Linked DNA regions of Mus musculus. The protein of the gene in region 1 purifies or fractionates together with the protein of each later gene. This does not show direct contact. Links are inferred from orthologs where the notes say so. Each region holds a gene or a part of one and is shown on either strand. Other genes may lie near its edges. The genes, in order: Sec22b, Stx5a and Stx18.

Region 1 (2,445 bases):
GTAAATATGATAATTAAAGATAGAGAGATGGTTCACAGGTTAAGTGCTTGCTGCTCTTGCAGAGGACCAAATTTGTTTCCCAGCCCCACATCTGGGTAGCTCACAGTTGTCTGTGGCTTTAACACCGCAAGATCCAAGGCCCTCTTCTCATTTCCAGGGCGTCATGTAAACATGTGCATACACATACACACATAAATAAAAATAAGTAAATTTTGTTTTGTTTTTTTGTTTTTTCAAGACAGGGTTTCTCTGTGTAGCCCTGGCTGTCCTGGAACTCACTCTGTAGACCAGGCTGGCCTCGAACTCAGAAATCCGCCTGCCTCTGCCTCCCAAGTGCTGGGATTAAAGGTGTGCGCCACTACTACCCGGCTAAGCAAATCTTTAAAAAAGAGAAGCAAAACAACTACCAGGTGCTGTGGAGCACTCAGCTCTGCATGCCCAGCATGCTCAGGACCCTCGGAGCCACAGCAGAAGGTGGGTGGTGGGGGAAATCTGCTGCTACTAACTGGGCGTTGGTCATATGCTGAAACCATCACTCTAAAGCAGTCTGTGTGCCTATCAAATGTTGATAATACAGTTACTATTTTATTGTTAAACATAGTTTAAACTCCATGATTTGTTTATTCTGCCAGTCACTTTTGTTATTTTTACACCTTAGTGTTTTTTTGACAAACCACTTCAGGTCTAATTAATGTTTTCTCTTTTTTTTCTTTTCAGCATTGGATTCAAAGGCTAACAATTTGTCCAGTCTATCTAAGAAATACCGCCAGGATGCGAAGTACCTGAACATGCGCTCCACTTACGCCAAGCTTGCAGCAGTAGCTGTGTTTTTCATCATGCTGATAGTGTATGTGCGGTTTTGGTGGCTGTGAGATGTGAACCTAGTCACTAGTAAGGGAGAACCTAGAACCCCGCAGTGTATGTTTTCAGGAAACTGAGCTCACAGGGCTGTGTATTAGAATCCACGTGGAACTTCTGCCTCTAAAGACCTTGCAAGAAAAGACCTGTCCTGAAAATGAAAGATGGCGCCTCGTTTAAGGAAGCTTGACCCATGTGGAAGTCTCTCTGGGACAGACTTTCTCTGGGTGCTGAGCTATATGTATTAGGGAACAGTAGGTTGTCTGTTTTGTTTCTCTCCCTCCCAGTACATGTGTGAGGCAGCAGAACTGGGGCATTCTCTCTCTGATGGAGCCATCAGTGAGATTTAAGGTAGCCAACCCATTCTAGCAGCATCCTGAAATTCTGTCAAAGAAGGCGGCCCTCTGGGGAGTCCTAACTTTAATCGACATTCCTGTGTTGGTAGCAGTGTGATTGACTTTCAAGTGAGACACAGTATGTGAAGGTTCATGATGCACAGATCCTATGTGTTGGCCATTGTAAGAAGTTAACTTTCGTTGTTTCCCTTTTATATTTTGCTTATTGCACAGTTGCTTTGGAATTAAATCAATTATATAATATGCCTTGAAATTATATAGTATTGCTTGACTAAAAGGATGAATTTTTTTTTTCTGTCATTTACTCTTTGTTGTTTGTTTTTCTTTTCTTTTTGTTTTTTTTTTTGTTTGTTTGGTTAGTTTGTTTTGTTTTGTTTTGTTTTGTTGAGACAGGGTCTCTCTAGCCTCAGTTGTCCTGGAACTCATGAACCAGGCTGGCCTTGAAATGACAAAGATCCACCTTCCTCTTCGTTTACTCTTTAACTCTCTTGGGACATTATTATTTGGGACTGTTTGGTCTCTGTAGAGTTGGTGTAGCGCAGGGTAGTCAGAGGCCCTGCTTTACGAGAAGAAAGGCCCAGCTTAAAGCTCCAACTCTGCCTGCCCCTTCCTCCCACTTTGTCTATGCGTTCCCAATTCTTGGTTTTCTTTTTTTTTTTTTTTTTTTATTACATATTTTCCTCAATTACATTTCCAATGCTATCCCAAAAGTCCCCCATACCCTCCCCCCCACTTCCCTACCCACTCATTCCCATAATTCTTGGTTTTCTTTACGACATAATTTGCTTAAATCTATAGTCTCCTGTCCCATAAATATCCTATCAGGATATTCACAAATTGCAAATGTGATGTACTCAACAATGTAGTTAGTTAAATTTATTATCTTTGCAGATCAGCTACTCAGACACAAACACTCACATAACTTATGAAGGACACCTCTGAGAGCCAGTCCCTCATTTCTGTTTCAGCTTATGTAAATTCTGCAAGAATGTTTTAGATATAAATGACTCACGGACAGTGACTTCTGTAAGCAATGGGAGTACATCAGTCTTCTTTCCCCTTTTTGCTCAGGGATAATGGGGATATCTCCTTTCACCTTCTGAGGTAGAATTTTATAAGTGGGAAGAATAGGCCTTTTGAGTATTATCACAAGGGGCTATAATATAACCTATAAGTCCTGCGCACACTGCAAACATCTCTTTAAATTGTACTGGAAAACGAGCCAGTGTCT
Region 2 (4,372 bases), on another chromosome or scaffold:
CCTCTTTCCCTGACTCCTGAATGTCCTTCTTGATCATCAGGATGAGCCCCAAGAACCTCAAGAGCCCAACCAAGTACCCTCAGAAGACACAGAGACAGATGAACTTTGGGCCTCTTTGGAGGCAGCTGCCAAGCGGAAGCTCCCAGATTTGGACCAGACACAAGGTGCTCTCCAAAGAAGGAAGAAAAAGAAGCGGCCTGGATCCACCAGTCCTTGAAGCCCCTTGCTCATGTTGTTAATAAATAGCCCAACGCGCGTACTGATCCTGGACCTTTTGTGATGGGAGAAACGCCTTGTAGGTGGGAGGGGTTCCCTCACCTAGCTGCGGGAGACCTGACATCACAAAAGCTAGGCCCAGAGCTAGGCTGGCTGGGGAGGGTGACAGAGTCCTGCGCCTTTCGGGGCCATGGGCTGCTGTCAGGACAAGAACCGTTGGGCCTCGGATGAGCAAGCAAGGGATGAAGTAACAGAGGATGGCAGGGAAGGTAGGACTAGATACAAAAAACGGGTCTCAGGTCCTGGAATGGGAGCCGGAGGTGCCCCAAAGGGACTGCCCCAGAGGTGGGGCTGGAGAGAACAGAAGTGAATTAAGTGGACCCTGTGGTGCTTGTAGGCAACGAAGTGGACAACTCAGGCCGCCGTAAACAAAGATCTAACGAAAGTCTCCTGATCACCGTGCTGTGGCGCAGGCTATCCATGTTCAGCCGTCGGGAGTCCTCGCGGTCAGGCAAGCAGGACAATCAGATGCAGGAACGCAAACATGAGGGAAGCCACAAGGAACCAGAAAAAGGCTGACTACAACCCTGGTCTTAGTCCTCCCCAACACCAGAGAATAAAGTTAATATTGCGAATCTGCTGAAAACACTTAGGCCTAGGCTTCCAGCTTTAAAGGCTCTGAGACCACACACAGGCTCTTTAAGGCGCCTCTAACCCAGCAGGTCCAGATTTGTTCTCGCACTTCAGGGGCGGGGCCGCGGTGGCAGTCTAACCAATAGGAGAGCGGAGTCGAGTTTGCATGGTAGGGGTGTGTTCTTTCTGTCTCTGGGCTAAAAAAAAGGCGTGGCGCAGCAGCCACGTCACCGAGTTAGGAGTACGTCTAGGTGACGTGGCGGCTCCTGTTCTTTGGTCCGGCTTCCACTGCTTACAAGTCCTTCGAGGAGGCGGCAACGATCTGGGAAGAGTGGCGGTGGTGGTGGCGGTAGGAAACAGAAGAGGTAGGGTTTCGCTTCAGTAGGAGTCCAGCCTCTGTCGTTCGGCTCAGCTCCGGGCAGCGGCTTGACGGGGGAGGGGGGAAGGGAGCCAGGAGTAAGTCCTGCTGGCGGCTCCGCGTAAGCGAATACCTCGCTGTCCAATCAGGAAAGGTCTTGTTAAGGAAAAACTTGGCCCCATCCAATCAGTGGCTGCAGTCTTCCAACAGGCGGAACTTTGACGGAGGTGGGACTTCCTGTTTCAAATAAACACTTTTAAGAGGGTTTTTTCGCCTCCCCCTCCGCCCTCCGAAGTGTGTCCACCTCTGGAGATCGGTTGCTGTTTTCTGTGAGAGGGGGAAGGAAATCACGTATACCAAAGGCAGGATTGAGACCTGGGCTAACTGCAAAGGTCTGCCTGGAAGTTCAGGGCCGCAGGACCAGGCTGTGGCTGTTTTCTCGACTTTAGGGGCCCCGGCCGGAGCTCTGGCAGTCAGAGCCAAGTCGGAAGGAGACTCTGAGGAGGCTTCGCCTTGGGCCTGGAGGAAGCTGACCGTTCTCGCCGTGTCCAGGGTGCAGGATCTGCGGGTGGCCGTGGGCTCCAAAGTCTGTCAAATACGGGAAAGGGCCTGGGGATTTGCTAGTTGAGGGGAGCGTTTGGGGAAAGAGGCTGTCTGGAGAATGACATTCTCCTCTCCACAACAGTCTGAGGTTATGCGACTCGATGATCCCGCGGAAACGCTACGGATCTAAGAACACGGATCAGGGTGTCTACCTGGGTCTCTCAAAGACACAGGTTCTGTCCCCTGCAACTGCTATCAGTAGCAGCAGTGACAGCACTCCTTTGCCCACTCCGGTGGCCCTGGTCCCCTCCCCTCCCGACACCATGTCCTGCCGGGATCGGACCCAGGAGTTCCAGTCTGCCTGCAAGTCCCTGCAGAGCCGTCAGGTAAGAAGCTGGAGTGGAAAGGCAGGCGTGAGCCCATTTAGTTAATGCTTAGGTTTGTTTGGTAGTTGTCTAAACTTAATTTACAACTCTTAGATAGACTAATCTTATCAGTAGGAGAGGAGGAATTGTCTTCAGTAATTTCAAGAATACTTTAAGTAAGTTGCCCTAAATACCACAAAGGATGAGTCAGGATTTAAACCTACATCTAATTTTTTTCTTATCTACAAACCACTGATAAATGTAGATTGTCTGATGTCAACAGCGCTAGAGTGTTTAGTGGGTTATGTGAGGGAGCAGTGAAAAGCTGAGGTAAGTAGTGACAGGAACTAAAGTAGCAACTTTTTGATACAATTCAGAATGGAATCCAAACAAGCAAACCGGCTCTGCACGCAGCCCGACAGTGCAGTGAATTTACCCTCATGGCCAGGTGAGTTGAGAGGGGCGTTGTGGTGGGGTGATACAGTGTCTTAAGTATATCTGCCTGTGATGGTTTGGCTGAGTGGAATTGGTTGTGTTGGAGGTTATGGTAACAGCCTCTTTCCTGCCCTTTACCACAACCTTCTCACTGATGATCATTTGCAGGCGCATTGGGAAAGATCTCAGCAATACATTTGCCAAGCTGGAGAAGCTAACAATCTGTGAGTGTTTGGGAGGCCTTTCCTAGGTGGGACAGTGAAACATAGTACTAGGAGGTGAGGCTCATGGAGGTTTTGTCTTATTTTTTCTATGGTGCTGGGGATTTAAACCAGGGATGTATACCTTAAGGCAAGTGTCTCTACTACTGAACTGTCATCCTAGCTCTTTGAGCCTTGCTATTTACCCTCACCTGTCCTAATGTTTCATCTGTCTCTGCAGTGGCAAAGCGCAAGTCCCTCTTTGATGATAAAGCAGTAGAAATTGAGGAGCTAACATACATCATCAAACAGGTGAGCTGCTAGCCATCAGGAGAGCCCAGCATTCTAATTAGATTACTTCCATCATTTTCCATCGCCATGAATCCCCAGGGTAAGTATCTAGACCCATGTCCAAACACCCTGCTCCTCCATTGAGTCAGTAGACACTTAGGTCATCTAGTATTTATAAAGCACTGTTCTAGATGCTGATGAAACAACTGGGAAGCAAGAGCATTGTCTTCAAGGGCTCATTTTCCTTGAGAGTTACCCAGCATCAAAAGCCTTGGCTTAAAATGAGGTTAGGTGTCAGTATAGAAAAGATCTTACAAAATGATTAATGAAGCAGGATACTGGGAAAGATTGACCAAGGATATGAAATCTGATTTGGACTCAGCTTATGTAGAGGTAGGCTGAGGGGTCTATATGCAGAAATTCAGCCAGATAGTATATGTCTTTAATTTCAGACCTCAAGAGGCAGAGGCAGGTGATTTCTGTAGTGGTAGAGATGTTTTCGTTTTAATCCCAGGTGTAGGTATGTGGGGCTGCTTCTGTCTGTCTGTAGCACCTGATTGTGATTTGCCAGCTACAGATAGTTTCTGTGATTGTGTGATGTTTGGAATTCTGGGAATTTTTCAGAGGGTATATAAATGTTGGGGCCATTCAAGAGGCGGCGTTGGTGGTTATTTCAAGGGGAGTTTAGTAGTCATGCTGGAAGAACTAAGAAAGAAATTAGGTTTACAGATCTCTCTTTTCCCTCTCCCTTCTTTCTCTCCTATTTAGTTGAATGGAGTATGTATATGTTATGGAGGTGGGTGAGGAAGACTGGGAAAAAGAAACCCACAAAGTAGCAAAGGCAAGCTACAGATCTCTGAGTTTGAGGCCAACCTGGTCTGTAATTATGTTGTTTTGTTTTTTTGTTTTTTTTTTTTTAAGATTTATTATATGCTAGTACACTGTAGCTGTCTTCAGACAGACCAGAAGAGGGCGTCAGATCTCATTACGGATGGTTGTGAGCCACCATGTGGTTGCTGGGATTTGAACTCAGGACCTTCAGAAGAGCAGTCAGTGCTCTTAACTGCTGAGCCATCTCTCCAGCCCTGTAATTATGTTTCTTCCCTCCATCCCTTCTACTTTCCAAAAGAAAAGAAAAAAAAGAAAAAAAAATGGGAGCAAAAGATACAGATAGCCCAGAGCAGATTCTTTGTTTTGGTTTTGAGACTGTACTTATATAGCCCAAGCTGGTGTTTTTGTTTAAGACAGGGTTTTCCTGGAACTCCATTTGTAGACCAGATTAGCCTCAAACCCAGCAATGTATCTGTCTCTATTCTCTGAGTACTGGGATT
Region 3 (4,449 bases), on another chromosome or scaffold:
TAATCTGTGCAGCATTAATAAACCACCCAGGAAGAGCCTCCACACACCAAAACTGTGCCGTCCACACACTGCGACAACAGCTTGGCCAGACTCAGACTAGAGCTATGATGACACCTTATTTTCCCATTCTCTTACTTCAACCTGAGACATGCCTCCTTCAACATGATACATGGTGCTCTTAAGCTCTCAACTTTCTAACTCTCATCTCTAGCTCTCCTTCTCCCCTCCCTCCCACCCTGCTTCTCTCCACGTGGCCATGGCTGGCCTTTCTTTTACCCTCTCTCTTTCTCTCTGCCTTTCTACAATAAAGCTCTAAAACCATAAAAAAATGATAAATTGTATGATAAGACATGTTATATATGATATATAAGATGGATCCATTGGCGTTTTAAAGTCTGTTTTGGATAAAAAGAACCATTTTGTAGGTAAATAAGTTCTGCCTAATAGCATGAGTCTGGCTAATAGCTAAAATGGTTAAGACAACACTGTGGTCTCCTGGATCTTCTTCGCTGTCTACATAATACTGGACTTTCTACAGCAGTGGTTCTCAACCTGTGTATTGTGACCCCTTTGAGGGGAGGTTAAATGACCCTTTCACATGGGTCACAGATAACCCGAATATCAGATATTTACATTATAATTCATAACAGTAGCAAAATTATACTTATGCAGTCTCAATGAAAATAATGATTGATGGGGGGGGGTGTGTCACCACAGCATGAGGAACTGTATTAAAGGGCCACAGCATTAGGAAAATTGAGAACCACTGGTCTAGAAGGCAAGGTTCAAACGCTGCAGAGTGATCTGCAAAGATCTTCTAGATTTCCCGCTGGCTACCATAACACTCATTATTTTTCTGAGTGTCCCACATTCTTATTTTAATCAAGCCCAACTTAAGCTACTATCTCATGCCTTTGTGCATGTTGGTCTCTTTTCAAAAAAGATATTTTCTTAATTCATTGGGAATTGCATATGTGTTCGGATCATATTTATCCAGTCCCCCTCTAACTCCTTTCAAATCCACTCTCACCTCTATACCCCCCTACCTTCATGTCCCCATCTCCCCACCACACACCCATTTTTTAAAAGTCCATCAAGTCTAACTGCACTGTCCATGTCCTCCTGACTGTGTGGCCACCCAGGAGCACGGCCAGCACGTGATGCCCTTCCTAGCCTTCTTGGCAATGAAACCAACTACTGTTCTTTTAGAATGGGTTTCTGACATCATTGTCCCATGAAGCCTTTCTCCCAGGTGGGATTAACCACTGTTTCCCTTGTGCCCTACAGAACACCAGCACGGCTCACGGCAGGGCGTTTGTTTATATTTGCATCTCCTCCACCACTGTAACTATAACTCAACAGTGGAACCCTATTACTCTAAAACAGTGCTGGTCAGAAAGTAAGTACTAGGTAGATGTTTACTGTTGGAGGGAGGGGCATTTATCTGGTTCATACAACCTCCTGTGCTTCAACATTATCTGTAAACAGCCATTCATTGACTTGTGCATATATATATGTGTGTGTGTGTGTGTGTGTAATATTTGAGTATTATCTAGTCTGAGGGCCCATGCCTTCAATCTCAGCACTTGGGAGACAGAAGCAGTCACCTTTCTGTAAGATCAAGGCCAGCCTTGTCTACATGGAAAGACCCTGCCTCAAAAAGAGAAATATCAAGCAATGGATTATGTGCCAAGCAGAGGTGAGTTTACTGGAAAACCAATGAAACTTAAAGTTTAGATCCCCCAGATTTGTACCTTTCAATGCTTTGGGCCATTGTGTGTGTGTGTGTGTGTGTGTCTTTAAAAAGACAGGCAGACTGTATATGACCCCCTGGTACTCCAAAAATAACATTTACCCTAGTGTCATAGACACAAAGGGATATAATGCAAACAATCTTTTTTTTTCCTGTTTAGTGGAATCAATAATTGTTCATTCGTTCAACCATTCATTCATTCAAAGAATACTTACTAAGCAATATTGTCAGTAGCACATACAGAAATACTGTCAACATGTTCCTACCCTTATGGAAAAGATTTCTATGTTGGGGACACAGAAGCCGGTTGTGTCCAGAGAACAGGAAGCAGTTTAGAGGACAGTTACAACACTAGTGTTGCTTAAGTGTTGCCGCTCTGAAGGGAAAAGCTTTTACCCTACACTGGTGATGTCCTAAACCAATCTCAGGAGGTACTGAGTCCTACCTATGCCTGGAGGCAAGGATCAAGGAGCGTTCAGCTGAGCGTGGATTTTATTAAACCCTACGAGCAAGAGGAGGTCCAAACAGATTCGTGGAAGGGCGAGGGGAGATAGTGGTGAGCTTTGCGACAGGAAGTGTCAGACTGTGGGAACTCTTGGCGAACTCACTGCCTCAGAAGGTTATAACCTGATTTCAAGGATATCCAAGCACCTCTAACTTACTTCCTTCAGTGCCCAGATATGCGTCCCTTCGTGAGAATAAACCTGTCGCCACCCTGAGCCAGCTGTTAGGTCGGTGAGACAGACTCTCTGTCTTGCTAGAGACTCCCTGTCTTCACCGAGAGCTAAAGAGATAGGCCCAGTTTGGGGTCCAGGGGCCGCGGAGCGTATGCGCCCCTAGCTCCCGCCCGCCGTTCCCATAGCAACCAGCTTACCACTTCACGGGCCCGGCTGGAGAAGTCTCCCTTGGGCCGAGGGCTTCTGCGGAACAGCTCGTCCCGGCTGCCATCGGCCCCGCCACCCACGGCCACTCCCAGAGCCTTATTCCGCGTCTTCACTGTCTTGACGCTAGCCCGGAAGAGCAGTGTGATGTCCACCGCCATAGCGACCCGCAACCCAGGGCCTGAAGCCGGCCAGGCACACGTCAGCAGCTAGCGACCCCGGCAAGAACTCGGTTGCTGAGGGACGTTCCGATTTCGCACTCCTCCGCCTGGGAACTGTGAGCATAGAAGAAAGGTTCCGCACTCCGCCCGTGTAACGCGGAGAGTGGAGAAAGGTTCCGGCTTTAACCCAGAGCCGGAATTCTCCGTTCCAGACAGCTACCCGCAGTGCATCGGCACCCCTTTCTCCTCTCTGCAAAACTCAGCGGGATCAGACGCTCGGAGATTTCCCAGTCTGGACTTCAGGAACGAAAGCATCGGGAAGCTAGAAAGATCGCTCCCCTTATGATTCTTTAGGAGACGGGCGGGCGGTTTGGTTGACAGGTGGGGAGTATCACACTTTTGACTTTTGTCATCAAGGGATCGCCTTGAGTAACAATGAACTATGACCATCTGAGTTGCAGGAGCTAGGAAAGGGTACGTGTACAGAGGTAGGGGCCAGAGACCTTTTTTCTTCAACCTTCAGCCAGTTCGGTAAAGTGAAGCCAGCGCCTTTCTTGGAATGCACAGAGAATTAAACAGAATGTGTGTATAAAACGTCCTCGTGCTGTTTAACTCTTAGTATACAGCTAGTAGATGTTGCCGTTGTTGATAATATGGTTGTCCTCAGTCGTTTTGTTTTGTTTTGTTTTGTTTTGTTTTGTTTTTCGAGACAGGGTTTCTCTGTGTAGCCTTGACTGTCCTGGAGCTCACTCAGTATACCAGGCTGGCCTCAAACTCAGAAATCCGCCTTCCCCTGCCTCCCAAGTGCTGGGATTAAAGGCACGCGCCACCATGCCCTCAGTCTTCTTACTTATAATGTAGAAGAGGCTTAGAGCAGAGATCCCTGAGCGGGGATGTGGAGAGCAGGAACTTATCAGAGCCAGACGAAAGTGAAGCATTCTGAACTTCATGATATCATGTTAGGTTCCTCCTCAATAAGCACTTTTGAAAAGCGCTCTCTTGAATCATAGTTATCAAAGAGAAAGAATGAAATGGAGAACAGAGTTACGTAATTTGACTAAAGTCAGCTAGTAAAATTTTTCTGAGCACTTGGTTCATGGTTCATTTTATTTTTGTGTGCACCTTTCATTAAAAATACAATTATGCCACTTTCTCTCCTTCCCTTTTCTCCCTCCAGCCTCCTCAAGTCCTCTCCCTCCAATTTCTTCCATGTCTCCCAACTCAATCTCAAGTTGATAGCTTCTTCTTCTTTAATTATTATTGTTGCATATATGTGTAAGTATCCATGGATATGCCAGCACAATCTGCTGAAACTGTTGTTATTGTGTATGTGTCTATGGCTTCAGGGATAATCACGTTGTATTGGACAACCAATTAGAGGGTTCTTCCATGGGATAGGCTAACTTCCCTCTCTCAGCAGCCATAGTTGCCTGTAGTTTCTTGTCCAGGAGTGTGACCCCCATGGTTTAGTTTTAGTTCAATATCAATTTCTCTGGGTTTTGTTTTCCTTATAAAAGGAAGCACACTAAGATGTGTGCTAAAATTAGGCTTTTAACAGTCATCAAGATGAAAAGCTAGTTTCATAATAATCCTAGGATCACATTTGCCTTTACACTTGCATGTTCTAATCAGCTGTATGGTTGAGTTTTCCAAG

Evidence for each region.
Region 2: the proteins of Sec22b (region 1) and Stx5a purify together in Homo sapiens (co-immunoprecipitation; 4 studies listed by BioGRID and IntAct, counting the BioPlex papers as one, with this or other methods). This does not show direct contact. The link is inferred for Mus musculus from reciprocal best matches to the Homo sapiens genes SEC22B and STX5.
Region 3: the proteins of Sec22b (region 1) and Stx18 purify together in Homo sapiens (affinity purification with mass spectrometry; 5 studies listed by BioGRID and IntAct, counting the BioPlex papers as one, with this or other methods). This does not show direct contact. The link is inferred for Mus musculus from reciprocal best matches to the Homo sapiens genes SEC22B and STX18.

Annotation. Positions count from the first base shown.
Region 1 is NC_000069.6:97,920,399-97,922,843, forward strand, and holds the end of Sec22b (vesicle-trafficking protein SEC22b precursor), read left to right. Parts: intron 1-717; coding exon 718-872; 3' UTR 873-1,920; downstream 1,921-2,445. UniProt on the Homo sapiens protein: SNARE involved in targeting and fusion of ER-derived transport vesicles with the Golgi complex as well as Golgi-derived retrograde transport vesicles with the ER.
Region 2 is NC_000085.6:8,740,362-8,744,733, forward strand, and holds the start of Stx5a (syntaxin-5), read left to right. Parts: upstream 1-1,441; 5' UTR 1,442-1,911; coding exon 1,912-2,136; intron 2,137-2,492; coding exon 2,493-2,563; intron 2,564-2,609; exon of another isoform or gene 2,610-2,718; coding exon 2,719-2,774; intron 2,775-2,991; coding exon 2,992-3,062; intron 3,063-4,372. Other genes in the region: Wdr74 (WD repeat-containing protein 74), read left to right, coding at 41-217; 1700092M07Rik (testis-expressed protein 54), read left to right, coding at 407-485, 614-795. UniProt on the Homo sapiens protein: Mediates endoplasmic reticulum to Golgi transport.
Region 3 is NC_000071.6:38,037,678-38,042,126, reverse strand, and holds the start of Stx18 (syntaxin-18), read right to left. Parts: upstream 2,898-4,449; 5' UTR 2,796-2,897; coding exon 2,628-2,795; intron 1-2,627. UniProt on the Homo sapiens protein: Syntaxin that may be involved in targeting and fusion of Golgi-derived retrograde transport vesicles with the ER.